4 linked regions of the Tamandua tetradactyla genome follow. The protein of the gene in region 1 purifies or fractionates together with the protein of each later gene. This does not show direct contact. Links are inferred from orthologs where the notes say so. Each region holds a gene or a part of one and is shown on either strand. Other genes may lie near its edges.

Region 1 (7,465 bases):
TCTGGGGAGCTGACACCACGGCACTGAGGCTCAAGAGATCAAGTGGGCTGGGCTCATTACGCTTGGGATGTCTGGGCTGAGGCAGTAGGTGCTTGTCCTGCTGGCACCGGGGAGCCACAGAGGGGTCTTGCACTGGAGCAGGTCAGAGGGAGGAAGGAACTGCTCTAAGGAGCTTTGGAGGTGACAAGAGGGAGGTGAGTGAGCATTGACCTTGGTCAGTAAGGGGCAGACAGAAGGCCTCTGAGCTGCCAGAGTCTGGTTTCAGGCTCATTCAGCAGGGCCCAAATCAAGGAACTTTCCAGGAGAGAGGTCAGGCCAGTTAAGACTAAGAGAAGCTGTTTTCCTCTTTCTCCGTTGTATCCCCCTACTCATTCCCATCATCTCTCTGACTTCCCCCGGTTCCTCCGGCCCCTTGCTCTACCCACTCCTCCAACTCCAGGCCCCTCTGTCTGGGAGCTTTCAGGAATAGATCAAGTCCCACCTGAAAGGACAGGTATGGGGGTCGCTGACCTGACTAGCCCGGCACCTGGGCCAGGTCTGTCACCTGGGAGAAGCAAGAGGAGCTACTTGAGCAGCCATGGTTTCCAGCAGCTCAAACCTTGACCCCTTCTCTCCTGCCATCGGTGGTCCACATCTGCAGACACCTGAAGGAACAAACCAGAAGGTTAAGCAAGCGCCAGGCCTGGGCCCGGGGGCTCCCCCCACCTCTCTGCCCCTCCCGAAGGATCAGTAATGGTGAGGCAGTGAAACGGCAGCCAGGGTTGAGTTGGTCTGGGGGAGGCCAGACAAGGGGAAACTTTGAGGAGAGGCCTGTCAGGGTTCCAGAGGCCTGGGCAGTTACTTATGCTTCCCCTATCTGAGCCTCAGTTTCCCCATCTGACGAGTGAGGGTATTGGATGGGATGGCCTCTGAGGGCCCCCTCCTCTCTGACTTTCAGAAATCTGGAGCCTGACTGCCTGGGTTTGCATCCCAGCTCCTCCCTTTACCGTCCATGGCACCTTTGGGCCTCAGTTTCCTCATCTGTCAGAGGAGGCTAAGAGCTGTCCCTGCTTCACAGGATGAACTGAAATGACACGTGCCGTGTCTGGCACACAGTAGGTGCTCCATAAGTGTGTGACCAAAGCTTTGGGTGGAGAAGGGCTAACCAAGGTGAACGGCTCTCAGAGCAGGAGTTTGGGGTGGAATGGGGCCACAAGGGGAAGCATGGGCGGCGGGGGGGGGGGGGGGGAACAGTGCACCCTGCCCAGGCATCCCAGGGGGTAGGATTGGACCTCTGAGGTTCTACCTACCTGGCACCTACTTCCCCCTTGGTCCACCCATCCCCAAACATCCCACACCGGGTGGAGCCAGCAGCCAGGAAGATGACTGTGCAGGGAGCAGAGTGGCCACATGGGGGCAGCAGAGGATCAGCCGGGGCAGCAGAGTCCCCCCGGCCTCACCGGAGGATGGGGGTTGGGTAGGGGGCAGATAAAAAATGAGGCCGATGGGCTGAGATTGGATGGGGTGCCGGGAAGCGCGAAGCTGCAGCAGGTGGCGGCTGGGGAGTGGCCACCTGTCTCCAGAACCTCAGGTCATGTCCTATATTCACTCATCCAGGAAGTCATTGGTTCCTTTTATTCTTTTCTTCAGTTTATGTATTCTTTTCGAGCCAGCTTATCTTCCTTTCTCTTTCCCTCCCTCTCTCTTACCCTCCCTCCTCTTCCTTGCCTTCCCGTGTCTGTGCAGCCAGGCAGTCAATTAGACATAACATCCTGAGCAGCTGCTGGGGGCCAGCCTGACCCCAGGGCTCCTCTTCAGGCTGCCCAGCTGGGTCAGCTGCAATCCGAGTTGCTCCCCGCCCAGCTCAGGGCCAAAGGACCTGCAGCCCTGCAGAGGGGACTCTGCTGAGGGCCAAGGGCTGGCCTGGCCACCTCTGCTCTTCTGGGGTCGGTGGGGTAGTGACCCACTGAGTTGGGTTCCCAACCGACTCTGGACTCAGGGTGGGTGGGGGCTGGAGGAGCTGGGTCACCCACAGTCTGGTAGTAAACAGTGGCCACACTCGACTGGAACCATGCCAGCTACCGTGGCTGGGGCAGACAGTGACCTGAGTCACCTCCCAATGCCAAAAATAAACTGCAGAGAAAGTGTGGTCCAGGCCCCAGCAAGGCCTGAGGTTCCAGGAAATTCCCTGCCGAGCAAGGCAGATTCCACGGCCCACTCACCAAGCTCCCCCCTTGCAGGGGCAGAGAGGGTGGGGGTGAGGCTGGGGCTTGATGTTAGGAGCTCTGGGTTCAAATTCCACCTCTACATCCTGCTAGCCTGAGACGAGCCACCGCCTCTCTCTGAACCTTGGTTCCTGAATCCATGATATGGGGTGGGTGAGCTGTGCCCAGGCTGAGAGCTGCGTGAGAGCATGTTGAGAAGAGAGCCCCGCTTTGGGGCAGACCTGAGTTCACCTTCAAGATCTGCCTCTTACTGATTGTGGGCCTCGGACAAAGAGCTTAAGCTCCCTGGGCCTTGGGCTTCTCATCTGTAAAATGGGGCTGATAATTCTTGCCTCCTGGCGGACAGTATCTACATGTGGTTGGCATCCATTAATGGGCGATGTTGTCACTAGGAAATGTTCGGTGAAACTGGAATGCACGGCCAGGGTGTCATTAGAGCAATTATCACCATAGCAACCAGGCCAAACTCCACTGTCTGACGCTCAGCTCCCTCCACCCCCAGACTGGCCCATCTGTCTCCCAGCCTTGCCACCCAATGACAGCAGCCACCACGGGGCTGATGGGGGATGACGGGACAGCCGAGCATAGGGCCTCTCCCCACCACTCCTTGGGGCGGGGAGTCCTGCTCAGCAGCTACACACCCAGACAGGTGCCAAGTCACTACCCAGCCCTATGGCAGTTTCGGGGAGGAAGGGGCACCTGAAAGGTGGTGATGTCCTGGGGACACGCCTTCCATCCAGGCGAGGCCCCGTTCAGCCTGCTGAGCGTGGTTCTGTGGGTGAGCACTGGAAAAGGAGTCAGGGATCTGGGCTCCAGCTGTGTGACCTTGGGCAAGTTACTCTACCTCTCTGTGCACTGGGGGAGCACTAACTCCTGCCCTCGCTGGCTCTTTCGGCCACAGTGAGGTTCAAAGGGGGCTGAAGGTGCTTTCTCACCTGCCTGACTTTGAATTCCCTGGGAGATGAGTCATAGCCTGCAAGGGGCAGGGAGAGGTGAAAGCCAAAAACTTCCGACCATCGTCCCTTAAAGCTTCAAAGAAAACAGTCCAGGATCTGGAGAGACTCTAGCACTTTTTAGAAAGAGATTTCAACCCAAGACTACACCAGGCCACTAACAGGTGGGGAGATCAGGTGCCCGGAGTGGCTGCGGCCCCCCCAAACCACCGCTCTTTTGCCTTCATATCTTTGCACATGCTGTTCCCTCGGTCTGAAACACCTATCTCCCTCCTCCAGCTGACTGTCTCGCTTTTCCCTCAGGCTCTGGCCAGCGGGTCCCTCTGCCCAGAAGGGCTTCCTGATCCCTCGAGCTGGGCAAGTGGTCCCTCTTCCATAGTCCCACTGCTGTCCATCCCCTTCCCCCATGCCCGTTCGGACTGCCCTGTTTTCCTGGCAGACTTCCATTATGGGCTGGGGCTTCTCAAGGCAGGCATTTGGTCTTGAAGGTTGCAGAGTCCCTTGAACACCATGGGGGGGCAGGGCAGGTCATCCGTATTGGTTAAATAATAAGGACCACCCCCACACAAGCCCCCACCATGCACTGGGCTCTGGGCTAGGCACTTCCTAGCTGGAAGGCTCCACCTTTTCCCCTCCATCAGTCCCCAGCCAGAGGCGACACAGGTGGTCATCCACCTGCACTGACAGCTTCCCAGGGCTGGTAGGGGGAGGGCAGGCCAGAAGGGCGTGTCTGAACAACCTCCTCCACACCTGGCCTGAAACGCCTGGAGGGAGGGCTGTGAATCCTGTCCCCAGCGGCAGGAGGGAAAATGCTCATTCATTCATTCATTCATTCATTCAAGGTCGCAGCCTCCCACTCTGTGACCCAGTCCCTGTTTGTACCCGGAGCTGGTAGGCCACCCCCCACCTCCCTGCCTCCTCTTATCCTGTCCCCCCACCCCCTCCTTCACTGTCCAGCCATTTGTCCTCTCCCCACCAGGCCAGAGCCCCCTCCTGTAGGCAGAGGCTGAGCCCGGATCCCTCCTGTGGCCTCAGCGCCCGCACACAGTAGGCGCTCAATAAATGCGTGCTCTGCAGCAGCTGTGAAAGGGGAGCGAGCCCCCGAGGTAGGGGGGTGGGGGGACCCCGGCCAGGCGATCGGCCGATCGGGGGGACCTGTCACCTGGACGGGCGGCCGCCCGCCCGCACTTCCTCCCGCCGCCCCGCCCCTTCCACATTCCTGCCCCGCCGGGCCTGCCCCGCGCCGGTCCCTGCGCCGCCGCCCGGCCCGACCCCGCCGCGCGCCCCGGCCCCTCCGCGGCCCCGCGATGGAGGCGGCCACGGCCGCGGGCGAGGAGGAGGTCCCGGGCGTGCCGTCCGTCAAGGTGGTCCTGGTGGGCGACGGCGGCTGCGGGAAGACGTCGCTGCTGATGGTGTTCGCCCACGGGGCCTTCCCCGAGGTGAGTGCCAGCGCCCCGCGGGGCCGGCCGGTGGCCTGGGGCAGGGGTGGGGTGGGGGGTGCGGGCTTGGGGAAGGGGCTGCCAGGGATGCGGGGTCAAGGGCAGCAAGCTCCCCATCTCGCTGTGCCATCTGGGCTGAAGGCCCCAGGGATGTCATCTGCAGAGTGGGGAGGAGGGCACCTACTTAGGGAAAGGCACCGGGGACCGATCCAGACACACTGGGTACCGTCGCGGGCCCTGGGAGCGCTTGGTGGCACGGCTTGGCTCGGTGCCGGCTCGGAAGCCAGGATGCCTGGGATCAAATCACAGCTTTGCCACTTCGAGCTGTGTGCCCTTGGGCAAGTGCCCTACCCTCTCTGTGCCCATTTCTTTAACTGTATAATAGGAACCATAGGAACGTGCCCACTCCGCAGGGTCTCTGTGAGGGGTGGATTTAGACTGGTCATGCAGTGGGCACTGAGCTTGTGCACAGTAGGACTCAGGGGAGTTGGTGACTGTCCCTTTAGGGTACTCTCTTCCCTCCCCACCCCCAGCTCTGGCCCCCACACTGGGCATCCCAGTGGAGGGTAAGAGCACCGGCCCTGGGGTCACACTGCTGGGAGGGCACCTCGGCTCTGTAACTCCTCACATGACCCTCGCTAACTCGCTCAGCCTCTCTGAGCCTCAGTTTTCTCCCAGCGACCTCATGGGATGGAGGGACCCCAAGAGTGAAGTAGAAATAAGGTGACGCTGCTCAATGGCTCTGTGCGGTGCCTGGCATGGCGTGGGCACTCTGGGCATGGTGACTATCCTTCCTTCACCCCCCTCCCCCACTCCAGGCACCGGGACAGGGCAGGGCCGGATCCCCCCAGGTGCCGCCCCAGTCCAGCCACCCCAAGAATCCATGGGTTTGCTTCCAGCAACTCTGCTTCCTCCCTTTCTCCTCCGAACCCCCCGGGGCTGTGTGGGTGGGTGCTGGACAGTCTTGGCAGGGGAGGTGGGAGAGGCCGGCCTGGTGACAGCCAGCCTTGGGGCTTTCTTTAACTGGGGCAATGTGGGGCCGGCTCTTAACTTGGGACTTTTTGAGCCGACGTCAGCCCATTTGGCCAGACATAGGGTTTTTGGTCAGTTGTGGGGTGGCCGTGTTTCCAGGCCCCTGGACGCTGCCCTGGTGGGAACCTCGCAATTGCAGCATGGTGGGCCGCTAAGCGTTTTGCAATCACTGCACTGCAAGCGGTTTGAAGGACACATGAGCTGGCCAGGGGCGGGGAGGGTATGTTTGTCACCAAGGGGGTGGACCTACAAGCCCATGTTCCACCCCCTGGTGAGTGCCAAGAGCAGCCTCTTTTGTTAAACAAACCACCCATCTGAGAGCTGGGAAGGTGCTCATTGTACAGGTGGGAAAACTGAGACCAGAGGGGTAGTCTCCCTTGGGGCAGGCAGTGGGCAGGGGCAGTGCTGGTCTGGAAGCTGGCCCTCCCCTCCCTGCTCCAGCCTGGACACTCTCTGCAGCCCCCCTTATCCCAGTGCTCTGCCTGCTGGACCCAGCCTCCTCCTGCCCCCTGCTCCAGGTCTCCTCCTCCAGGCAGCCCTCAGCCTGGGAGGCAGCAGCTAGGAGGCTTGGGCAGAGAGCAGGCTGGGGGTTTGGAGAGGCCTCTCTGGCCCTCCACTGGCAGGGGCGTCGGGGTGGAGGGAGCTCCCGAGGCAGGTGGGGATACCTGGGGGTCAGTCCCTTCTGATATTAGCTGCATCCTTCCCGGTCTGTGCCAGGACCCCCAGGGTGTCCTGCTCAGGAGAACCCCTGACACCCCTCACTCAAGCTGTGTCCCTGACCTGTAATGCTCCATCGGTCCGTCCCCGAACCCCATGATGGCAGCCCTGGGGCCGGAGTCATGTCTGTCCTGGCCTGGCCTGGGCTGGTCTCTCTGGCTCAACAGATAAGATTAGGTTCCTGTGACACTTCTGGGACAAAGGGTGACCCTGCCTGACCATTCAAAGGTTACAACAGTAGGTGTGGACGAGGTGTCCAGGATGATGTTCCCCAGTGGAAGGAAGTGCTGTGGCAGTCACGAACTCTGGATGGGGCTTTCCTGCTCGCTGCAGGCACCGGGGACAGGGCAGGAACTGGACCTGGTGACCTCAGAAAGGCAGGTGGCCGGGGACAGCATCCTGGCTCCGTCGCTGACAAGCTGTCCGGCGTCTCACTTCCCCCTCTCTGGACCTCCACATTCTCATCAGAAAAAGGGGACTGAACCGATACCCTAAGGTGGCAAGGATCAGGGATGGTGGCTGCAGAGGCTCACTCACAGTAGGTCTTCAGAGTTCACGGGCGCTGGGGACATCACCAGGGTCATTTGCAAAGTGCTGACACATTTCCCGAGAGCTTCCATCGGGAGGGTCCTGCCCCAGCCCCTCTCCTGGTGAGTGGGTAGTCAACCTGGGAGATTATAGAGACAGCTGTCACCCACATTCCAGGGCAAAGGTCAGGGGCTGGCAAGGGGCTGGGAAAGGTGGTGACCCCTGGAGGGCATGGACAGTGACTGGCGAGCCTCTAAGTGCCGGGTCTTGGTGCTAAGGGCTTCACCTGGACGCCAGGCTTCCTACTTCATCTTCCCGTTTAACCAGCAAGGGGGCTGCCGCTCAGAGTGGCCAAGTGACTGGTCCAAGGTCACAGAGCCGGTGAGGGCCAGAGCTTGAGGGGAGGGGCCCTGGGGCAGGCCCTGGGGAGGCAGTTGGGGTCCTGGGCTGTTCCTATTGGTACAGGGAGTGATGGGGTGGCCAAGTCCAGGGTGGGTTGCACCCCCCACCCCCCCATCCCCACCCTAAGGCTATCCCTAACCTCTCCATCTTCCTCAGCTGCCAAAACAGGAACCTGAATTCCTCCCCACCC
Region 2 (6,929 bases), on another chromosome or scaffold:
AATGGTTGGCTTAAACAATGGGGATTTATTAGTTTACAGTTTTGAGTCTGTAAAATGTCCAATTCAAGCCATCATGAAGGCAATGCTTTCTTCCCTTGGCTCCTCTGTCACATGACAAGGCCCATGGTTGCATCTATTGGTCTCTCCCTTCTCTTCCAGGTTTTGTTGATTTCATATTCTTGCTTCCATGGCCTTCTCTCTCTGTCTGAACTTCATTCCATTTATAAAGTTTAATAAAACCTCAATAAGATCATTAAGACCCATCCTACTTCTGTTACACCTTAACAGAAGTAGCATTATCAAAAAGTCTTATTTACAAAGGTCCCACACCTAAAGGAATGGATTAAAGAACATGTTTTTCTGGGGTACATACAGCTTCAAACCATCACAACCTCTAATTGGATTTCAAATGTAGATTAGCCTGCTGTGAGGATGGTAAAACCCAAATTTAAAATAACATTGTGCTGGTTTGAAACTGTTGTGTGCCCCAGAAAAACATGTTCTTTAATCCAAATTCAATATTGTTGGGTGGGATCTTTTTGATTAAGTTGTTTCCATGGAGATGTAATCCACCCAAATGTGGGCAGGAACTTTTGATTAGCTGGTTTCATGGAGATATGCTTCCACCCATTCAAAGTGAGGTTGCTTACTGGAATCCTTTAAGAGGGAACAATTTTGGAAAAAGCTTCAGAGCCAACACAGGCAGAGACATTTGGAGATATAGAAAGAAAATGCTCCCAAGGAACTCTTTAAAATCCAAAACCCAAAGGACCAGCAGATGCTAGTCATGTGGCTTCCCAGCTGACAGAGGGGTTCTGGACCCACTGCCCTTTTTGAGTCAAGGTATCTTTCCCTGTATGCCTTATTTGAACATTTTTATAGTCTTAGAACTGTAAACTTTTAATTTAACAAATTCTCTTTATAAAACCTGTTTCTGGTGTATTGTATTTAGAGCAGTATTAATGAACTAAAACAAACATCAGTGCATTTTTAGGTCTCCTAACACCTCCTTTTTTAAAACAACACCTATGAGACCTATGAGTTTGAACCTTTATGTTCTGAAACCAGTCTCTTCTGCTTCTTCTCTCCAACAGTCCTCCTACCCATTACCACCACCAGCACCACTACCACCATTACTACTACCACCAATTTCTTAACCGTTGGGTCCTTGCATATGCTATCATCATTTCCTTAGCCTGGAATTCTCTTTGCTTCCCGTCTTTGCATTATAATTGCTCAACAGATTTTTGTTTAATATCTTTCCTAATAACCTTAAAGCTCCAGGAGACCAGACCAGTCTGTCTTGTTTACCATTATACCCACAATGTCTGGCATAGTACCTAACACTTAGTAGGTTCACAACAAATATTTACTTACTTTAGGCTTCAGCCTAAGGCTGAGCCTCAAGGATCAACTCAAACATCATGTCCTTTGGGAAGGTTTCCCTGAACCACTGACACTCTGTTAGTTACCTCTCATGTGATTTATGGGCTCCCTGATCACATTTCTGTTATAGCATAATGCAGGTTTATAATAGTCTACTTCTTCCAGTAGACTATGAGGTTCTAAAGGGCAGAAACTGTGTCATCTTCATCCTTCTAACCCACAGCATTCTGTATAACATCTGTGTGCCTGTTTGAAAGAGTTGCATACCCCAGAAAAGCCATGTACTTTAATCCTGATTCAATATTGTGGGGTGGAAACCTTTGATTAGATTATTTCCATGGAAATTGACCTACTCAATTGTAGTTGTGAACTTTTTGATAGATTACTTCCACAGAGATGTGCCATGCCCAATTATGGGTGTAGCCTTTTGATTAGATGGAGATGTGACTTTGCCCATTCAAGGTGGCTCTTGATTAGTTTACTGGAGTCCTTTAAAAGGGGAAACATTTTGGAGTTGCTTCAGAGCTGACACAGATGCAGACAACTGGAGATGTGTGGAGTGCTGAAGAGAGAGCAGATGCCTAGTCATGGACATTGGGAGATTGAGAACCCAGCAGATGTCACCATGTGCCTTCTCATGAGTTGCTAAGCAAGCCAAAACCAAGGGTTGTGTCCCGGAGGAGCTAAGTGAAGGCCCACAGATGCTTAGAGAGGAAACCTCTGGCATCAGAAGCTGTAACCAATGGAACCAGGAATAAGGACCAGCAGATACCAGCTATGTGCCTTCATATGTGACAGACAATTGCCTTTCTTGAGTCAAGGTATCTTTCTCTGGATGCCTTAGTTTGGACATTTTTATGGCCTTACCAGTGTAAACTTGTAGCTTAATAAATTCTCTTTTTTAATAGTCTTTCCATTTCTGGTGTATTGCATTCCAGCAGCATTTAGCAAACTGAAACAACCTGTTATACTCGAGGAGCTCAATAAATGTCTACTGAACATATTATTAAGCAGTGTTTAAGCTTGAAGGATCCTCAGCTAAGGCCCACACCCACATGTCTCGAAGAGGAATTACATGAAAGCATTGGATAAGTAAGTCACATTTTTCTGCAACATCCACATCTACTCAATTTTTCAGGAGGGGGGGGCACAAGTAATTTCCTGTAAAGTATGTGTGTTTTTGTGTGTGTGTGTTTGTGTATGTGTGTGTGGAGCCAAATTAAAAGAACACATCAAATTTTAAGTCAAATAGGAACTTCAACAAAGCAACATTGTCCTTAGTGCTCCCTGTCCACCTCTCTGGAAGTATGCATTCCTTCTCCTTTGAGGTTCTTGGGTAGTTTACAACCTTTGGAGTAGGGAAGTCACACCTGCATGATTAAAGTTAATGACAATAAAAAAGCTGAGATTAAAAAGATTGGTTTCAGACCAGTGTAAGATCATCTAATGTCCTTTTTCACTCCACTGTCCAAGTTAGTTGCCTCATCACAAATATAGCATGGTCTAATCCACCTTAATGTATTCTCAATATAGATGTTCAAATACAAATTAGATTCAGTATTTTTCTTTTTTTTTTTTTACTTTTGCATATAGGGCATTTGGGCTGAAGAAGAGAAGGGCTGAGTAACAGCATATAGACATGTTTATAGATTTGGTATCTGAATTTACACTTCTAGCAAATGTTCTCATACTCTGATGGTGGTTGATTCAAATCATGCCCTGCCTCTCTAATGTCCTGAGTGTAACCTTTATTTTCAAAGGGCCCCATCTCAAAAGAATGCAAGAAATAAAACTTGGGCCTTTTCCTGAGGACAAAATGTTAGGTACAACTCAAGGACTAAAGACTAACAATACATGGAGAGGTGTTTGCTGCGGCTCCAAAGTACCCAGCATTTGTCTAGGGATTTACATTTAAAATAGAGCTTTAACACGCATGATATTCACTCCCAAATCTAAGCTAGTTTGGGAAACAGGAAAATGGCATTCAATATAAATGTCAGCTTCATAAAGGTGCATTGGCTAAAGAGCCTTAACACTCCCTCGGGATTAAGCTGTGAGCGCCTTCTTCTGCAACAACCCAGCAGCAGGGGAATAAAGGAACGACTATATTTCTTTGGTGGCAACACAATCATGGCAACAGAGAGCACCCACTCTTTCCACTTTGACCTATACAGTCTATCGAGGCAATTAATCAGCGCTTCTGTGGTTTTCCTATAGAATGCCAGTTGCCTTGCCAATCAAACCCTCCCACAGGATGTAGCAAGGCCACACCCTCAGCAGGGCCTCTGGGAAGGAAGGTGCTCTGGCTTACCCTGGTGGAAGCTGATATTCAGGTAGAGCCGCCAGTGAAATTTACACTTGACTCTTCCTGGACCTCAGTTTCCCTGTCTCTAAAATGGACCCTCCTCTCTTTTGACTAATTCCCTCCCATTTCACGCTGGGCCACTAGGAAGTGAAATCAGTGCTTAACCGCAGCTTCACGTACTCTGGTTAGGCGCCAGATACAGAGCTGGGCATGCTCAGTAGCTGGGGCAAGCTTGGCACCAGGAGTAGGAAGCAGCTTTCTGTGTTGGGGCGACTCAATGCGGGTACTTTGATGAATCACGTGTGTTGAGGGCCTCTTAAAGAGATAGGCACCTACTTTCCTTTCACCCTAAACACCGCCCAGAGGGCGGCGACCATGGTAATTGCAGCTGCTCAGGGGCAGGGCTTATCCTAGCGCTGAGCAGTGGTTACGGCGCGCTGCGTCAGGGGTGCTTTGCAGCCGGGAGTTCCCGGGGCCTGAAACGGCAGTTCCCCAGCCATACATAATCCACACAGGAAGAGGTGCTGCCGAATCAGCGCCGGGCAGCGGGAGCGTCCCGTGGAGCTTCCTCAGTTGAGGGTTCTAGGGTACAGGTGACAAGGCCAGAGAAAGATGGAGCAGCCCGGGGCGGCGGCGGGAGCGGGAGGCAGCAGCGAGGAAGCCGGTGCCGGCCGGAGCAACAAGCGGAGCACTGGGAACCGGGCCGCCAACGAAGAGGAAACGAAAAACAAACCCAAATTGGTGAGTACTCCCGCAGCCCCCGCTGGCCTTGAGGACAGGGAGAGCCCCGGGACCCTTCTGCTGGTGAACACAGGGGGACCCGCGGCCCCCTCCCAAGGGAGACGGCAACCTCCTTGTGCAACTCGGGAAGCCGCGTTGTAGAGGAGCGGCCACGCCGAGGCACTGAGGCGGCGTGGGGGCGGAAGAGCACCCCCCCACACACTTAACTCCTTTCTCACTCGTGTCAGCCCGGGAGGCAGTGCGCTCAGGCCAAAAAGCACTACCCCAATTTAGGGAGATCCGGAATGCTTACTGGGTAGGGTTTGTTGTTTGTCTAACTTGTGAGCGTGAGTGTGAGCCACCTTCGCGCGATTCCATTCCCCTCCCACCTCCTGCCAATTACTGTTTTGCCTCATGCTAGGGGTCAGGAGCAGAGGAACCTCTCTCCTTTTTAATCCAGGTACTCGGCGGCCCACCCACAGCCTTGCTAACCAAAAATTTAACAACTTAGGCCTTCAATCTTTCTACTTGACCAGAAATCTAAGAGAAGGGGCGTCTACGTGCGTTTCTCCCCTTGCCTCTCCATGTGCTCTCCCAAGTAACATTTCTTTGTAAGGGCGCAGGGAGCGTGGGAGTTGGAGGCTTGCTGAGGTACCATCATCAGCTGTCCTGTGTAATAGGCATAGTCACAGCGTTCTTCCACTTATTTGACCAAACATGCTCAAAAACAGTAGTCAGACTGCAAGTCTCACCGTCCTAATAGTGTGAAGCAGTGGAAGCAGTCCATTTCCTGTCCCTGGCTTGACGTGCAGAGGAATGAAATCTATGGGGCCTGGTATTAGATTGGGAAATACTGGAGTTTCTTCAGCTCATCAGTAAACTCAGTTCCTCTTTTTGTAAACTTTCTAATTTTGGCGGCCCAAGGTTAAGGATTTTCCAGCACAAATTCAAATAATTATTTCTGAAGATTCTTAGTCTAGACTTGAAGCACAAGCCACATGTTGCAAATCTAGTTTTCAGTTTTAACCAACAGTTTGATAGACATAGGGAGGGGAACGGCAACATATAAGTAAAGCTTTTCTTATGGCATTTCACCGTTTTGTGTATTTGTTTGTACTTCTTTCTCTTCCCTCATATTTGCCTTTCAGTTATCGACGGTCCTTATTGTAAAACAGTGATCAAAGGTTATCATTTCGAGAACCATATAGCCTTCCCTTATGTGGGAAGGGACTTGGTGGGATAGATAAAAATGACAGAAGGTTGAAGTCTCATCAATTCCATTTTAACATGAGGAAAATTGTGAACTTATTACTTGTTGTGTCCTGTTACCCTAGCATTTACAAGTAGAAGAAACTCAATGAAGGCTCATTGTGACTTGTCTGTGCTGGCAGAGGTTTAATGAATACTTCATTACTCTTTTTGGTCTCTGTCCTCTCTCTGCCCTGAAACTTAGAAAAGTTTTATGAGTTTATCACCAAAGCTTAAGGTATTTACAGATTCTGATGTTGTGATTTTGCAGTTTATCAGTTTGTGGTTAAAGAGTAAGCATCTTTCCTTTTTTTTTTATTTTTAAATGGGCTCAATGTAAAATTGTGGTTTAATCAGCAATTATGAGTTTAAGTAAGAATTAAAGTCAACTAATAGTTTCCACTAATAGTTTGGTACTTCCAGCAAGAAATTTTAAGTGTGCTGTCAAGAAAAAGCACTTATCTCTGTCTGTTAGTAGTAACACCTTGATTATATTCTTCCCTTCCCTTTGGCCATTTGTCCTGTTTCATCTTTTATATTTTACTTGTGTTGACAAGGTAACTAGATAGTTTTGAGATGGTATCACTTTCATTTCCCAGCCAGCTTCACTGTTCAGTGTTGAACATAGCTTGATATACTAGAACAAGTACTTGAATCCAAGTTTGCTAATATTGACATGAGCTTTCTTTTTTGCTCAAACATAGCTTTTGAGCTTTACATGATTTTGCAAACAGCTGGGTCAGAGTTAATAAAAAACAAATTTAGGAGGATATTACAGCACAATTTAAGACAAGTAAGTCGACCAAACAACGAGAATCGTCTTATTTCTTATGCAGTCTTTAGTGTTATCATGAAAGCTTTCAATGTGCTTTTCTGAAGCCTTTTTAGGAAAGAATTGATCTCGAATTCTTAACTTAAAATATTGCAAATAAGGTAAATTTTTGCCTGGACTAAATTTTATTTTGAGTATTGTGTTAATAAAAAAATCACTGTCATACCTTGAGAGAGACAGAGAGAGAGTGTATGTGTGTAAAGGCATTGTGAGGTGGGATTATAAAAGCCATGTGGTAATGGAAAATTGTTTGTGTAGGTGATTGTGGGAGATAGGGGTTCTTAAACTCCTGATATTGTCTTAAAATTTTTTGAGTGTATATAGGTACATTCATTTTTCTGGGCTCCATTGCTTCCATAAGCTTTGTGAAGGCCTCCTTCACTAAAGAAGAACCATCGACTTAAAAAGGATCGAGTAAAGGAAATGACTCAGCTGATT
Region 3 (7,795 bases), on another chromosome or scaffold:
TCTCACTGGGCTGGCCTGCCCCGGGGCAGGGTCTCTGCACCTCCCAGTGGCGCTCCAAGGCCCAGGGGCTGGTGGCTGAGCTCCCCCACCTCCTGCCCCAGCCAGGACCCCGTGGAAGTGGGGAAGTGGCCTGTTTCAGCAGCCGCTGACTCAACACTGGGGATGGCTGAGAACAGCCTAGGGAGGCAGCCAGAGGCCGATGGGGAAGGGAAAGGGCCAGTGGGGTACGTGGGGTGGGGAGAGGTCTTGGGGGGACATGGGGTGGGGCAGGATGCGGTGTGTCGGACACAGGACCGGGTAGCACTTGTGCCCACGCAGCAGAGGGCAGTGGGGGGCGGGGACTCATCAAGGAGGATGTGAAACTGCCCTGAGGAGAAAAATGTGGAAACACTGCATGGCCTGGGGGAAGAAGGCGTGGGGGCAGGGGCACCCCAAATCACGGAGAGGGCTGGCAAACTACAGGCCACCAAGTCCAGAATTTAAGGCCCAAAGACAATTACAATTAGTCAGAAGCCTGGCCTCACCCCACCTGGTGCCCCCACCCCAAACACAAACAGCCCTTAGCCAGGAGTGGGGGGCCTCTGCCTGACCAGCACCCACCCTTTCTGATGACCTGTCCCCATTGGTGGAGGCCCTGGACCTAGTGTGTGTGTTGCCTCCTGCTCTCAGGAAGATGAGCTCAGGGACACGCCTTGATGGCCAAGGGCTACCTCATGGGGTCCTGCCCAGGCCGAGAACTGGGGAGGGCATTGGAAGGTACAGCCTCCGCCTGGGAGGCCACACCTTGCCCATGCCCGCTGACCGACTGGGACCTCTGGCTGTGGCCCCCTGGGTTAGGTCCCAGGCAGGGGCCAGTTGGCAGAACGTCCTGCGAATGGCCGAGTGCAGGCAACCAGCCTATCCTGGAAGGGGGCTCTGCGGGCCATATGGACTGCTCTGAGGGCAGGCAGCCCACCCTGGTGCTTTCCAATCCAATCTCTTCTGCTCCACTGGCCAGGGCTGGGGCTAGGCCCCCAGGATCCCTGTGCTCAGCCCAGCTGCCAGCTCTGCTCCCCGGTGGTAGGCACAACCTGGTCATGCGGCCCCATGCAGCACACCCCACCCAGTTAGGACACCCCAACATGGCAGAGGAAGCTCCTTGCACCCATGAGACTCGGTAACCTGTGCTGTCCAGTGCAAGGGGAGAGGAAGGCATGGGGCCCGGGCCACCCTTCCCCCAGCCTGGCCACTGTCACTGTTTCACCCCTCATCACCCCGTGGGCACCCAAGGGTCTGAGCAGTCTGCCCGAGGGCTGTCCCTAGCCAACCTCGAGGGCTGCAGAGCCCATGTCATGGGGCTTCTGGAAGACAGTGGGGTGCCCAGGCCCAGCCCCTTCCCAGCCCTGAGGGGAAGGTCCAGGGCTCTTCCTGCTTGGGGTTCCCAGGGGTTGACAGACTTGCAGAGGCCTGCTGGGGCCACCCTCCGGGCCCTCTCCAGCCCAGGGGTGACACACCCCGCTCACACCCCACCCCTGACCGGTCTGAGCAGCCGCGGGTGGCGGTGTTGCCCGGGCTTGCCCCTTGCTCCCAGGACTCAGCCCACGTCCCAGAGTGGATCTGTCTCCCACGGCCGCAGCCTTCCCCCTCAGGCGGCTGCACAGAGCTGGATAATCCAAAATAATTCCTCCTTGGCAGGCGGCCGGCGGGGGAGGGGAGGACCCACATTCCAAACGCTTGTTTTTCTCAGTAACTACTCTTTCCGGCAGCCAAGACCCTCCGGGGCCCTGGGCAACCCAGATGGGCAGCAGGGTGGGGCGGGGGACAGAGCGACTGGGTCCACCTGCTTGTTCTCAGCCTCCCAGGAACGGTCTTTGGCCCCGCCGGCTCCCCCAGGCCTGGTGGCCACTGGGTAGGGGCAGGGAGGCCCCACAGGCCCGGGCCCAGCCACATCCTCCACCCCATGCCCAGGAAGGATCTCCTACCAGGAGGTGGCTTCACAGGTGCAGGGGGCTGCTGTCAGACCCACAGGGGGACTCCCTAGGGGCATGTCCTGCCAGCTTTGGGGTACAGCCGCACCCCAGTCCTGGGCCCCACTGCCAGCAGGCCACATGGACAGAGCCCTCTTCCCTTTTCCCAGGGCCTAGGAGGAGGAACAAGAGTTCCTTCCGTCTGAGCAGGAAGCTAGGGGACTCTTGTGCTTAGACACCCCCCAGATCCGGGAGAAAAGACCCCCCCCCAAATCAGCCAGACAGCCTGCCAAACCTCAGAAGGGATGCAAAAGGCCCACGGTGGTACTCAGCAGGGGAGGCACCAGGAGTTGAGCATGCTGTCCCCCACCCCTCACTCCCAGTTCTGAGGCTTCCTGTGCCGGGAGGTATGGCCCAAACAACACCAACAACCCACCGCAAGACCCCAGGAGCGGCACCCAGTACCCTGCACCACCCTGCAGCCCGTCCGCGGGGCTCCCCACGGGAGTCTGAGGGGCGCGCGGGGGGAGGCCACCTCGGGCAAGGGTTGGGGATGGACGGCTGCGGCCCTTTCATGCCAGGGCCAATCCCGCACATAGTGGCCAGGGTCTCGGGGCCCCGGCCTCAGCGGGGCGGGCGGGGATTCCAGGGCCAGCGAGAAGTCGGAGCTGCTCAGAGGGCCAGGGTCGGCCGGAGAGCTCCGAAGCTCTGGCGGGGGAGTCCCCGCGCGGCCAGGCGCGCGTCCCCAGCCCCGCGCCGCAGGCCTCCCCAGACTGGGAAGAGAGCGGGCCGGGAGGACAGACCGACCGCCGCCGCCGAGGTGTCCCCGCAGCAAGCCACGGAGCGGGCGTTGTTTGCAAGGCTCATCGCCCCGGGTCCCGCGTCCCCCAATGCCGGGTACCTGCATGTCCGGCTGCCGCGGCTCGATGACGCCCAGGCCGCGCTCCTGCGCGCTGCGGCCCGCGCGGCTGCCATGGAGACAGGCCTTTGTGTGGCCGAGGAGGGGCCCCTGGAGCGCGCGGGATTCGCCGGCCCCGCCCCCGACAGAGGGAGGGAGGAGAGGAGCGCGGAGAGAAGGGAGGTGGGTCGGGAGGAGGGAAGGGAGGAAGAAGGGGAGGTGGGAGGAGAGGTGGGAAGGGAAGAGAGAGGGGAGGAGCGCGGGGGTAGGGAAAGGAGGGAGGGGAGAAAGACAGAGGCCCGCGCTCCCCGTGCGCCCCACGCCCGCCCAGCCGACAGCCCGGGTCGCCGCGGAACTGCCGGGCAGGAGCAACCCAAGGCACGCCAGACAGAGTAACCCCCTCGGCCAGGCACCATCGGGGAGTGCCCCGCGCCGGCTCCAGGGTTGGGATTCGAGCCGGTCCCGAGGTCCCCAGCGCTGGGGGATTCTCCTCCAGGCTTGGCCAGCCGCCAGCACCCAACTGCCCTGCCACTCCTAAATTTCTGAGGGGAAGAGGGCTCCCCTGGGGTCCTCTCACAGCTCACATCTTTGACTGCAACTCACCTCCCACTCTCCGCCTCCAGAACCCACCGGCCCCACCAGACTGGTCCTTGAGTGCCTGGAGGTACAGGGTGGTTGGTAGGGGAGCTGCTTCTAGCCCTGCCCAGCACCCTGGTGCCTGGTCCTGATGTCCCTGGGACCCCTGAGTTAAGAAAACGTGGGGGCCTCCCTGTGTGGGGCCAATTCTGCTCCCTCTACCCCTCCAGGGAGTTGCCAGTCCAGTGGGTGGAAGACCCAGGGAGCCCTGGTGACTAGGGGCCACTCCCCACTTCCAGTCCAGCCCTGGCCCACTTGAGGACCTTCTCTCCACACAGACATGTTCACTTCCTCCCATCCCCTCACTAGCCCTCAGGAATCACACCCCTCACTGCTCACCCCACTCCAAGGAACAACCCCAATCCTGAAGATCTCCCCCACGGAGCAGACTTCCCCCGTTGTCCCCACACCCCGGCCCCAGGCAGATCCTGGTCCAGCCCAAACCACAGCCCAAGTCTGGGACCCCAAACTGCTGGGGTCTGACAGCCTGCCAGAAAAGGAAATTAAAAGACAAGCATTGCATCATAAAATGACATTTTAATACCAAAAATATGGGAAGGATGCAACCCCAGACCAAAAGCAAGTCTTTAAATAGATCGCAGGAAGCCTAGTGGTGAAAACCTTTCCTTTCCTATCCTGGTCCCACCCTCTTGGCCACCCCTGCAAACCTCTGGGGCTAGAGGTCCTATAAACCCGTCCCAGGCCCTGGGTGCAGAGGGGGCTGCCTCAGTCTGCCCTGGTGGGTGCAGAGGCTTGGCGGGCCCAGAGTGACAGAATCCTGTGGAGAGCGCAGGGGTCTGGGGACAGGATGCGGACAGCAGGACTTCCCACCCAGCAATATCCCCACCCTCCTTCTGTCTGTCTCAGCCTCCTGTCACCCAACCCCACCTAACCCCCTGGGAACCCACAGCTCCTGTCAGCACCCCCCATGGCCCCCAAGGCTCCCAGATCAATGAGGAACAACTGCTGAGGGATAGCCAGGCAGACCCCTCGGTGGGGAGTGACCCTAGCAGCCCTAGAAGCCCTGGGAGATAGCATACCCCTCACTCAGTGTGGTCACAGCAGTGAGTAGCTGCCAGGCCAGCCCAGATACCTCCCTGTAGCTCCTCCAGGACTGGGGGAGGTCAGCACCCCTGGGGGCGTCAGGGGACTTCTGTGGAGCCCCTGAACAGACAGCCAGGGGCAAACGCGGTCTACCCCCTCCCACCACCGTGTTTCCCCGGGCAGCCCCGCGCCACTTCCACAGGACCCGCTGCCCAAGCGCCCAGGACTGCAGGTGGCTTCAAGGACCACTGCACCCCACCTCGCTCGGGGAGGGGCCAGACATGCCAGGCCCCGCAGGGCTGAGAGTCGGACCAGTCAGTGTGGCCTTCTCGGGAGCTTGAGGGTCGGAGGCTCCAGGCCGCAGGCCAGCTGAGCCCGGAGCCGGGGCTGGAGTCCAGGGCACTCAGGCTGAGGGTGGGGTGGCCCCACAGCAGCACCGCCCCGCCCAGGGCCTGAGAGGGCCCGCCCTCCCAGCCGCCCTCGGCCCCACACCGCCCCCTCGTGGCCGTCCGCAACCAAGCTCTGGCCAAGGGCCGCACCCAGAAGGGGGCGGTGGGGGGGGGGTAGACTCCTCCCTCCCAGTCGAGCCCCAAGCCAGACAGGGGGGTCATCCGTCAGTTGCCCCCAAGAAGGGGGGATGGCTCAGGCGAGAGTCCAGATAAGGGCATGTTCACAGACCCCCTAAATCTTCCTCATCCTCTCCGCCTCAGCCCTTCTCCCCCAGGGCCCCCCAGCAACACCGTCCAGCCCCGTCCCGTGTGGAACCCCACAGGGGCAGGTGGGCGCAGGCAGGGCGAGCTCTGGCTGCAGATACCTCCCCCCCAACAGACAATCAGGGACAGGCTGTAGGCCCACATGCTGTGTTTACTGTGGGGCGGTGGGAGCTAGGCCATGAGTGGAGGAGGGCAAATGGGAGGGGGCATTGGTGGAGAAAGCCTTTGTCAGGATCCAGTCCTCTGGCCCTCACAGCCTCAGGGGAGGCTCAACACGGCCTGCAGGTTCTTAGGAAGAGAGCTCATGACCTTCTCCAGGTACAGCTGTGCTAGCCGCAGTATCTCTTCTTTCACCGGGAGCTGGTGGCCCTGGGCCCGCACCTGCAGGGACAGCTGGGTTCAGGGGTCATGGGCGGGCCACCCAGCATCCCCAGCCTCTGGACAGGGTACAGGCCTCACCAGTTTTTCCCGGAGTTTCAGGACCAGGTCCACCACCTCCACCTCGGACTTGTCCTTCATCCAAGCCTCGAGGTCCTGCGGGAGCAAGCAGGGCTGCTGTTACGCTGGCTGCCCCTTGCCCCTTGCCCCCTGCCCCCTGTCCCCTGTCCCCTGTACCCTGCCCCTGCCCCGCCAGGCCCTCACCGCCTCGCATATAGCCTGGAGGTGCAGCGCCTCCAGCTGCTGGGCCATCTCCTTGTGCCGCTGACGGTACCAGCCGTCAAAGTGGGGGGACTTGAAAAAACGCCTGCGGGTAGGGAGAGGCAGGGGCAGCAGATGACGGAGTGAGGGGAGGATATGGCCCCTGCCTCCCCCCGCAAGTCCCCACCCTGCCCACCTGTAGAGGCCCAGCCAGTCACCCTTGATGATGCAGGTGAGCCCGGGTCCTGCGTGCTCCAGGCTGCGCAGAAAGTCATCCTGGAGGAACGGGCGGATCTGGGGCGGCGACTAAGGAGAGGCTGGGGGTGAGCTTGGGCATCCCCCCATTCGGCTGGGGCCCTCCTCCCCAGAGAACCCATGTCAGACGTGCCCCCACCCCCATCTGTCCCATTTCTCTGCCTCCCCAGCCCCGCACAGATGCCCGGCCCTCCCCAGCACCCACCTTCCAGGGCTCCACGCTCCTCCGCAGAGGCATGAGGCTAGTCATGTAGTGTTCCTGAGAAGGGCAGGGGTGAGATCCAGCCACCGCAACCCCTACCACCCTCACCGACCCCACCTGTGGGCCTCACCAGGGGAAAGAGGAAGCTCTGCGTGAGCTCTAGGAGATGCCGCCGCAGCAGGGCGCTCAGCGTGTCTGAGGGGCGCTGCCTCTGTACACCCTGTGGTGGGGGCTCCATCAGACCTGGCGCCCCAGGTCCCATCCACACTCCCGGCCCATCTGCGCCCCTGCCCCAGACACCAACCTTTAGCAGCCGCTTCAGCAGTGCCTTGTCCCGGCTGAGGTGCGCTGAGTACGACGTGTAGAGGCCTGGGCAGAGGGCGAGCTGCCTGGTCCGGGGCGGCCTGGCTCCCCACTGCCCGGCAGCCCCTCCCCTGGGTAACAGGGCATCTAATGCGCCTGTAACTTCATGACCCAACCTTCCTGGCCTGAAAGCCAAGAGGCCACCGAGCCAAGAACACCCTACGGTGAGAGGGCTGAGCTCCACTGCAGACCCAATTTGAGGTTGGGAAGGGGAAGGTGGGCAGCTGCGGGTGAGGGATGGGGTGGAGGGGGGCAACAGACCTGGCTTGGTGTCCAGGGTCTTAAGCCGCGAAGGCTTCTTCAGCTTGACCTGTTTAGGAAAGTCCCCTACGACATGCCAGGTGGGGCTCAGTGCTGCAGTACCCCCAGGGAGCTGCCATCTCCCCTCATGGCTGAGGGTGGGGGAGGCCCCGGCCAACCTCACCTGACATTCTGGGCTCCCCCACTCGGAGAATGTGGGGCCAGTGCTGGAGCGTTTTGATAAAGAAAGGGTTTGTCACTCCCAGGACCACCTTCGGTCTAGAGAGAAGAGGCAGAAGCAGAGGCAGAGGCAGAGCGGGCAGGAGCGGGCGGGGGGGGTGCAGGAGGGTGGGCGGGGGGGGGCAGCCTGGGCAATGCACAGGCTGGGAGGCACTTACGGGGCACGTGTGCGGGTCATGAGCTCCTTGAACTCACTGTCGTGGACGGTGAAGTAGGGGCGATAGTCAGAGCAGAATCGCAAGGGCTGCAGGAGGCTGTGCAGGGGCAGCGGGCAGGGCGGGACTCAGTCTGGGCCCAGGTGCTTCCCAGCCTCCAGCGGGGACTGCCCTAGGGCCCGGCAACACTGCTGAGCCATGTGCCTGGAACCCCATCCCTGGGCCCCATTCCCAGCTGCCCTCATCCCCCTTGTCCCCACCCCTGGCTGCCCCCATCTTGGACTCCACCCCCTGCCCCTATCTAGCTGCTCTGGGCCTGGACAAGCACCTGGTCAGAGCCAGCACAATCTCTGAGGACACGGCTGGTGAGGGTGCCAGGACCACCAGGGGCTCCCCGAGTAGCACGAGCTCCCACAGCATCTGTACGTGCATCAGCACTGGCTGGAAGCACCTGGCAGGCAGGT
Region 4 (7,855 bases), on another chromosome or scaffold:
TTCTGCTCTCTCTGAATCTCTCATTCTCCAATATTTCCTCTTTTATAGGACTCCAGTAAACCAATCAAGACCCACTCAAATGGGTGGAGACATGTCATCCCCTAATCCAGTTTAACAACTGTTCTTAACTAAATCTCATCAACCAGGGAGATGATCTCATTACAGTTTCAAACATACAGTATTGAATAGAGATTATTCTACCTTTAAGAAACGGGATTTATATCAAAACATGGCTTTTCTTAGGGGGCATATATCCTTTCAAACCAGCACAATATCCTTTCAATAATGAAGTTGGGCAATATAACCAATGTTTAAAGTTTCAAATGTATAGGTTGAGGCATTTGGGTGGTAAGAAAAAGTGTAATAGTGAATTATCCCTTTTCTTGAATATTGGAGGACCAAAAAATAATAATAATAATAAGGTGTATTGCATCTTAGCAGTGATTTTTATCCAATCTTGTTTTCAAATACCGTATGTCTGCCAGGGCCTTAAAAGCCATCATGTAAATTACCAGTAAAGTATAACATATGCAAACATAACAAAATCACTTCCATAGTGACGATACTCCAACCATATGGATATTAGTCATAGAAAGCTAGAGGTTTTATGATATTTTTTTAAGTTGCTTTTTTTTCCCTTTGGTCTAGGTAGTCCGTACTTAAATATCAGCCATTTTCCTTTTTTGCTTCTTCCCTTAAAATTTTATGTATCCAGTACATTTAATTGAGAATTGTATGTTTTTTATTCCACTGTATTTTCTTTTCATTTTTTAATTATTGTTTATATTTTCAATTATTAAGTGTACAAAACAAAGTTACATTGCTGGTCTTGTAAGAGCTATACAATTTTCCTAAATGTATACCTATAACTGCAGCAGTTCACCTATTTCAAAAACTTGGAATTCTGTTCATTTGTTATTCTTAAGACCACCTCAAATTTAAAGGCTACCTTAATGTACGTTTAAAGTGTATTATAACAGTGTGGTAGTTAATAAAACACTATTTTTTTTTCTTTTGAAAAAAAAATATATATATATATAACCACAATAATTTTTTAAGGGAAGTAGACTTTTTCAGATAAACAAAAGCTGAGAGAATTCACAGCCAACAGACCTACACTATGAGAAATGGCAAGGTAGGTTCTCCAGACAGAAAGAAATTGATACTAGATAGAAATTTGGATCTGTACAAAGAAACAAAGGATTCTGAAAACAGCCAGTCTGCGGGTAGACAGAAAACCAGATGCTGCCTCACAACGCCCGCAGCCATGGGCGTTTAAGATGTGTGTCTGTAGATGTCACCGACAACGCGTAGGGGTCAAAGCTGTTCCCGATGCTGCTATTACATATCCTCCAGCCTCAGCCATGCTCCTGAAGCTCTCTGAGCTATGGTCTCCGCAGAATAACACCCTCTCTTGAAATGTCATCACGTTATGTAAAGTTATGAAAGTGCTTTGGAAATTTCAGCGCTTTCATTCAGGAAATATTTACATAGTACCTTCTATACCGAGTTCTAAGCCCTGTGTGCCTGGGCATCAGTTTCCTCATTTGCAAAATGAGGATCACAATAGTATCCAACCCACAAGGCTGCTGCAGTACATGCAAAGTGCAAAGAACAAAGCCGGGCAAGAACCCCAATGGAGGTGTGCATTATCACCATCCTCATCCTCACACTATGACTACTGCTGCTGCTGCAAGGCACATGTGATGAAAAGGAGAGACTTCGTTCTTGCCTTCAGAGACCGTATATTTTACCATGTGTGGTCAAGGGAAACATTATTTTGGAGATAATTTGTTGAAATTGCATACCTGGAAATACAGATATATAAAATATAACACGCCAGCCTGACAGGAGACCTAGGTCCTCATTTGAACTCCAAACCTTAACTTTGGTTAAGTTATTTAACCTGTTGGAGCCTTAGTTTATCATTAAAATAAAGAGATGGGATGAGAATCCTCAAGATCCCTTCCAGTGCCAATATCTGACGAAGTGAAACAGGAGATCCATTTTAGAAGCTTGTGGTTCCTGACTTTATCTGAGCAATTTAATACTTACAGCATCAAATCCCCACATAAGAAACAACTGATTTTGAGGATGGGGAAAAGGACAGTTTATGATTTAAGATAGAATTCTAGATCTACAATTAGTATCAGAGATTGCACATCACTCCCAAGGTCTGATTCATTCACCTAATAATGGAAGAGTGTAAAAGCCAAGTCGTTTCTACCCATTGCCAGGTAAACCCTCATTTTGATTGAGAAGCTACGGAATATAATTAGAAGAAGCAGGGAAACTCCTCCTTCTGGTTCCAGTGTTTGAACAGACTCCAAGGAAACAGAATTCTTTCTCTTGCCTATTATTATACAATTGAGAAGAGAACTGGCAGTCCATTGTAGAAGTTCCTTATGCATGAAAGACAAGAAAAAATATGTACACAAGCTAGCTCTTTCTACCTGTTGTTTATATGAGCACATACCACAATTTGTAAGCAAGCTCTCAATTTCAAACACAAAAGCACCCACAAAATTTAATTACTTCACATCTTACAAAACACAGATAACTTTAACCAAGTTACCAAACCTAGTGTTTTCCTCTGTGGAAATTTCATTCAAGAAAGGGGTCCCACAAGAAGAAATAAAAGTGTCTGAACCATAAGAGACTCTATTAATCAGGCTAATCTTCCAACAATAGTTGTGAAAGAGCCCTTCCTAAAATTTTCCCAATGTTTCGCAGAGGCAAGCCAAAGAATTTGCAGAATCTTATAAAATTAAAAAGTCCTTATTGATTTTGCTGGAGAAAACATGTTGTGCAACACTAACTCAGAAAAAAAACTGTTTCTGTGCATATGTATAAAATGTTGTTCATGACTTCAGGAAGTTCTCAAGTTCTCTGCAGTATACCATGGGCTCCAGTACAAGAACCTCTAGTTTAAAGCAATCAACCAAAATTTGCAGGAAAGGTCCTTAAAACACACAAATTTGAGAGTAACCTGTAGCTGTCTTTGGGACCCCAATCTCTACCTTTAATAGAGATTTTTTTTTTTTTTTTTTTTTGCAGGGGTGGGGAAGCGCATGGTCCAGGAATCGAACCTGGGTCTTCTGCAGAAGTGTCCCACTTTTTTATCTTCACCTTTGGTAACTATTCCATCTCCTTCCTTCTCCAGGCGATTCCAATGGGGCAGGTGGGCAGCTGGCACTGGTTTGGCTAATCGAGGCACCCCATTCCCAAGTCAGAGTGACTGGTTTAGGGATAGACACACAATAAAATGAGACCCAGAGGTCTTATGGTGGATTTAAACTGGAGAAAAGAGGGTGGCTTTCTACTTCCTGGGATCACAAGACAGAAGGACCACAGACACCTGGGATTTGAAGTAGCCATTTTTTTCCACCATGTTGTAGAATGATGAGTGTGGATGAAATCAGAACGGAGAGATGGGGGAAGATGGATGAGGGGGTGAGGAGGTTTGATGACAACATATAACTACTAGATCCAGCTGAGTCTCAAGTCAGATACCCCTTGAACTTCCCAATGTATGATTCAATGAACTTCTTTTATCTTGGGCCAATTTAAATGGGGCTTCTGCGCCTTAACAATGTGAAGAACTGTGATTCATGCTCTAATTAACTAAATGAGATGGGAACTAACATTTACTGAGTGCCTCTGAGATATCAGAAACCATGTGGAATATTCAACATACAACTTTTATAGCCACACTGGGAAGTAGATACCATAGTTTCACACAATAAAGTAAGATCTTGAAAGGCAAAATAATCAGAATCCATCAACCTAGAGGGCATCTACAAGGGCTCATACCCTGCCTGTCTCATCACAAAAGCTTATTCTCTTTCTATACCATCATACCCCTAAATCTTTACATCTTTCAAGCTGCTGCATTATTAATTTCTAAGATTCAACCCAACAGTCAACCTAACAATCAAAATATAAAGCCAAACACAAATGTCTCATTTTAGGAAAGGCTCAGTTTTGCTTTGCTCATACATCGATATGAATGATGGAGTACCTGTTTTCTAGACGGTTCCCATTTGGAACAAAAATTTGTTCCAAAATAAATTTTGCCAGACTGACTTTCCAGGAACCATAAAGCAAGCCTACTGGGGACTTACTCTCTGATGCTTAGAAGAAGCACAAGTTCTGGAATGTATGGAGCTGAAAGATAAAGAAAAGTTACTAAAATGTAAAAGTTACCATCGTTGCAAAGAATGTAGCATTCAGAAAGGACTCCCCTTTCTCAGAGACAAAACACAATCTGAAATTTAGCCAATCATCTCTAATTCTGTTCTCTGCAGTAGAGTTTGAGAGATAAAGAATGTGTGGCGAGGGGAAAGATAGAGTGAAGACAGGAAAAAAGTAGACAACAAAGCAAATTTAAGAAGACTGTCAAAAATCTGCAAGTTCTTTGGAGGCTACAGAAGAAAAAGTATGATAAAGGTATCAAACAGTGGGGAAGGTAAAGAAGGGGAAGGAGAAATTAAAATAGGCAAGGGTGTGGTGACTGAAGAGTGCTCGGCTTCGGGCATAGAATTCATTGGCTGTACCTCCCTTTCCTTCCATCTGGAAAAGCACTAGTATGACAACAAGGAAAGTATGTTTAACTAGGCATTACTACCTTTTTTTTTTTTTTTTTGCAGGACCTGGGTGTGACAGGTGGAAACTAAGTCTCCTCTTTGAGTAACAGCCAATTGTCCTGATTAGAGGTTGGATTACTTATTTTATATAACCACACACAAAAAAAATTGTAAGTGTTAAAACCATAGGGTGGCACCCTCTTTAATAACAGTGTAATAGTATATTCCCTTCATAAGGTAATTCATGGTTTTCTAAGTGCTTTTGCATTCACCATATCACTTGATTTTCTCAACAACCCTAGGAGGAGAAGAGTGTGAGGTACAGGCCATCAGATATTGCTTTTATTTCAGCTTCACAGATGAAAAACTGTCTCTGAGTGCCTAAATGACGTGGAAAGGGTCAAATCACTCCTAACCAGCAGAGCAAGAACTTGACCTCAAGACTTACATTTTGGCCATTTTTGCAATACTCACCATTGCTAGACACCCTGTCCTAAAGTCATCTAATAAAACAAAGTCTAAGACTCTTTTGCTTAAAGTCTCTGCTGGAAGAAACATCACTTAAATTATGTTTGAAATAGATGATTCCCTTGTATCATCAACACACTTGATATTTTAGAAGGCAATACATTTTACTTCCAAGTAAAGCTTATTGTACAAAAACATACCAAATTGCATATTCTAATGATTTAGATTACAACTTCACTCACTCATCTACTCATCTAATCATTTGTTAAGCAGCTATGTGCCAGGGGCCGTATGTGAAGGATCAGGAATGCGAACCTGAATAAGTCATGCTTTGTGTTTTTGAGAAGTAAAAGAGATAAACAGGAGGAGGCAGATCTGCAGAGGATCACAATAACCGCAAGTTCTGTGGGAACGAAGAGGAAGGAGAAGCTAATTCCACCCAAGACTGTCTCAACAGAATGGGAAAAAATACAGGTTCCATGCTTTAAGGAGCTTGCAGTCTAACAGAGGAGAGCCTCATGAACGCAATAAAAGTATGAGGCAATAGATACGTGAATGCCACAAAAGAGGTATAACCTACTATAAAGGTTCAGAGAATGTGAAAGCCGTTTCCAATTAGGATGATCTCAGAAATATTTTGAAAAAGGGGAAATACAAAGGGAGCTTTAGAGAACTGTTATACCCACCAGGAGGAAAGGGAGTCAAAAAGCTACAATAGCCAGTCAGTTGCCTTACTGCCTCCTGAAAGCTCCTAAGATACTTTGGGTTCCATTTCCATCTGACAGTTATCTAGCCCAGGACTGGGGTGTGACCAGTCTCTTTTGAACTTTCTCTCATTCACCAGGTCATAAAGGTCTAAAAAACAACTGAGAAATATCCAAAACACTCATTACCAGAATCTGAACCAATCTATTAAGAACATGAGTCATTTCTGCCTACAATATTTCTCCCTAAATGGCCTTCGTATCCATTAATAAAAAAGACTCAGTGTAAAGAACAAATATGCTACTCTTCCAATTTGCCAATTATATCTTCACAAGCCATTCTAAGCAGAACATTTTGTTTTGAAAAAGAACCAAGTTATGAATGCTTCATCTAAAAGCAAACTAATAGCTTCAAAGGGGTCTATGGGGTTCACTGATTTTCCCTTTTCTAGGAAAATTGGAACTTGTTTATTTGCTTAACTAAAAACCATCACAAGTTATAAAAGGGATATGAGACATCATCTTACCTATCTTCCTTAAATGACTTCCTCAAGGTCACACACTAACTTTACAACACAGCAATTAAATACATCTCAAGGAGTGATTCCAAAAAGATAACCAGTAACCGGGGAGTCTGACCTAGCAAATGAACTTCAAGCCTCCTTATGAATGCTTTGGTTTGATTATGATGTTGTTTTGAATATTACTTGGAATTTTATCAAGATTTTAATAATCCAATTCTAATTGCTCAGTAGAACAAATATTTCATTTTCTTTAACCCTTTCAGTTGAAGAAAAGTAGCAATCCAACTCTAGATGGTAAACTCTTTGGGGGAACCAACCATGAGCGTAGAATCTGTGATCTGTCAAATAACTGAAATAACTAGTCTCTAGGCTCTTCCCATGACCAGCTGGTGAGTGCTTTGGGGAATGGTGTGGGAAGAAAGGAGAAAGCCCAGGGACTACCTGTTCTTTTGGTATCAGGAAAGTTCAGACACGTGGCGGTATCCTAGTGAGGCAACATGTTGCCTATGTCTTCCCTATTACAAACATTTTATAAATTCAAGTTTCCAAAAGTGTACCAAATAGCATACAGGTATCCTTGAGTTTTATTCTTCTTTCACAAGAAAAAGGACAAAGTACCTCATAGTCTCAGTTCATTCTATTTCCTAATGTTGCTGCTAAAGTAAATCATTCCACATTAGCCTAAACCGAATCCTATGCTAGCTTAACCTGGCCAAGGGTAGTCAGGAAAAACTCTTTCAACTTTCAATTCACAGAAATACTTCTCTTAATAATGCCACTGCAAGGCTAAATCAGTACCTGAATTTTTTTTTTTTTTTTACAACTGTGCTAAAATGCATCCTGCCACCTGTGAGAGCCCTCTCTTTTGGAATGTTTCTATCACACTACAAATAGTTCTCACTCCACGTTCCCGTCTAGCTGCAAACAGAGTGAACTAAGCTTCCAATTAAAACAGCTAATCTTCAACCACTATACCCTTTCCACATTTACTCCAGAATGTGTGGGTTAAAACAAATTTATTCTACACCCAGGTGTCAGCAAACTACAGCCCATGGGCCAAATCCAGCACCCCTTCTCCTGCCAGGAATCTTTGTAAATAAGGTTTTCTTGGATTATAGCCACACTCATGTTTAGGGATTGTCTTTGGTTGCTTTCTCACTGCAATGACAGGGCTGAGTGGCCGCCACAGAGACTCTATGGCCAGTAAAGCCTAAAATTTAGACTTTTTTCCCTTATAGAAAAAAGTTTGTAGTCCCCTAGTCTACATTAAGTACATGAAAAAAAGAAGTTTGGTGATTTGTATTCAGAAATGCATTTCAAAAATAAATCCATTCATTTAATACATACATATTGAACTCCTTGGGCACTGTTCTAGGCACAGGAGACACAGCAATGAACCGGAAAGATGAGGCTCTATTCTCCCGGGAGTCTTAATCTTGTGAGAGGAAACAGACTAACATAATTACTCTAATTTCAAATAGATAAAGCAAGTTATTTAGAGACCGGCCAGGGATTCTAAAGGGGAAGTGTTGCTTTAGAATATGCAAAGTCATGGAGATGACATCTGGGAAGA

Evidence for each region.
Region 2: the proteins of RHOD (region 1) and DIAPH2 purify together in Homo sapiens (co-immunoprecipitation; 3 studies listed by BioGRID and IntAct, with this or other methods). This does not show direct contact. The link is inferred for Tamandua tetradactyla from reciprocal best matches to the Homo sapiens genes RHOD and DIAPH2.
Region 3: the proteins of RHOD (region 1) and PLXNB2 purify together in Homo sapiens (affinity purification with mass spectrometry; 3 studies listed by BioGRID and IntAct, counting the BioPlex papers as one, with this or other methods). This does not show direct contact. The link is inferred for Tamandua tetradactyla from reciprocal best matches to the Homo sapiens genes RHOD and PLXNB2.
Region 4: the proteins of RHOD (region 1) and DAAM1 purify together in Homo sapiens (affinity purification with mass spectrometry; 3 studies listed by BioGRID and IntAct, counting the BioPlex papers as one, with this or other methods). This does not show direct contact. The link is inferred for Tamandua tetradactyla from reciprocal best matches to the Homo sapiens genes RHOD and DAAM1.

What each region holds. Positions count from the first base shown.
Region 1 is NC_135335.1:7,317,047-7,324,511, reverse strand, and holds the start of RHOD (rho-related GTP-binding protein RhoD), read left to right. Parts: upstream 1-4,456; 5' UTR 4,457-4,464; coding exon 4,465-4,596; intron 4,597-7,465. UniProt on the Homo sapiens protein: Involved in endosome dynamics. May coordinate membrane transport with the function of the cytoskeleton. Involved in the internalization and trafficking of activated tyrosine kinase receptors such as PDGFRB.
Region 2 is NC_135353.1:78,531,929-78,538,857, reverse strand, and holds the start of DIAPH2 (protein diaphanous homolog 2), read left to right. Parts: upstream 1-3,911; 5' UTR 3,912-4,303; coding exon 4,304-4,432; intron 4,433-6,929. UniProt on the Homo sapiens protein: Could be involved in oogenesis. Involved in the regulation of endosome dynamics.
Region 3 is NC_135333.1:45,659,976-45,667,770, forward strand, and holds the start of PLXNB2 (plexin-B2), read right to left. Parts: upstream 3,014-7,795; 5' UTR 2,848-3,013; intron 2,341-2,847; exon of another isoform or gene 1,962-2,340; intron 1-1,961. Other genes in the region: protein DENND6B, read right to left, coding at 5,496-5,618, 5,697-5,771, 5,880-5,982, 6,073-6,182, 6,337-6,390, 6,464-6,553, 6,638-7,163, 7,335-7,430 and 1 more.
Region 4 is NC_135338.1:5,907,098-5,914,952, forward strand, and holds the start of DAAM1 (disheveled-associated activator of morphogenesis 1), read right to left. Parts: upstream 3,018-7,855; 5' UTR 1-3,017. UniProt on the Homo sapiens protein: Binds to disheveled (Dvl) and Rho, and mediates Wnt-induced Dvl-Rho complex formation. May play a role as a scaffolding protein to recruit Rho-GDP and Rho-GEF, thereby enhancing Rho-GTP formation. Can direct nucleation and elongation of new actin filaments.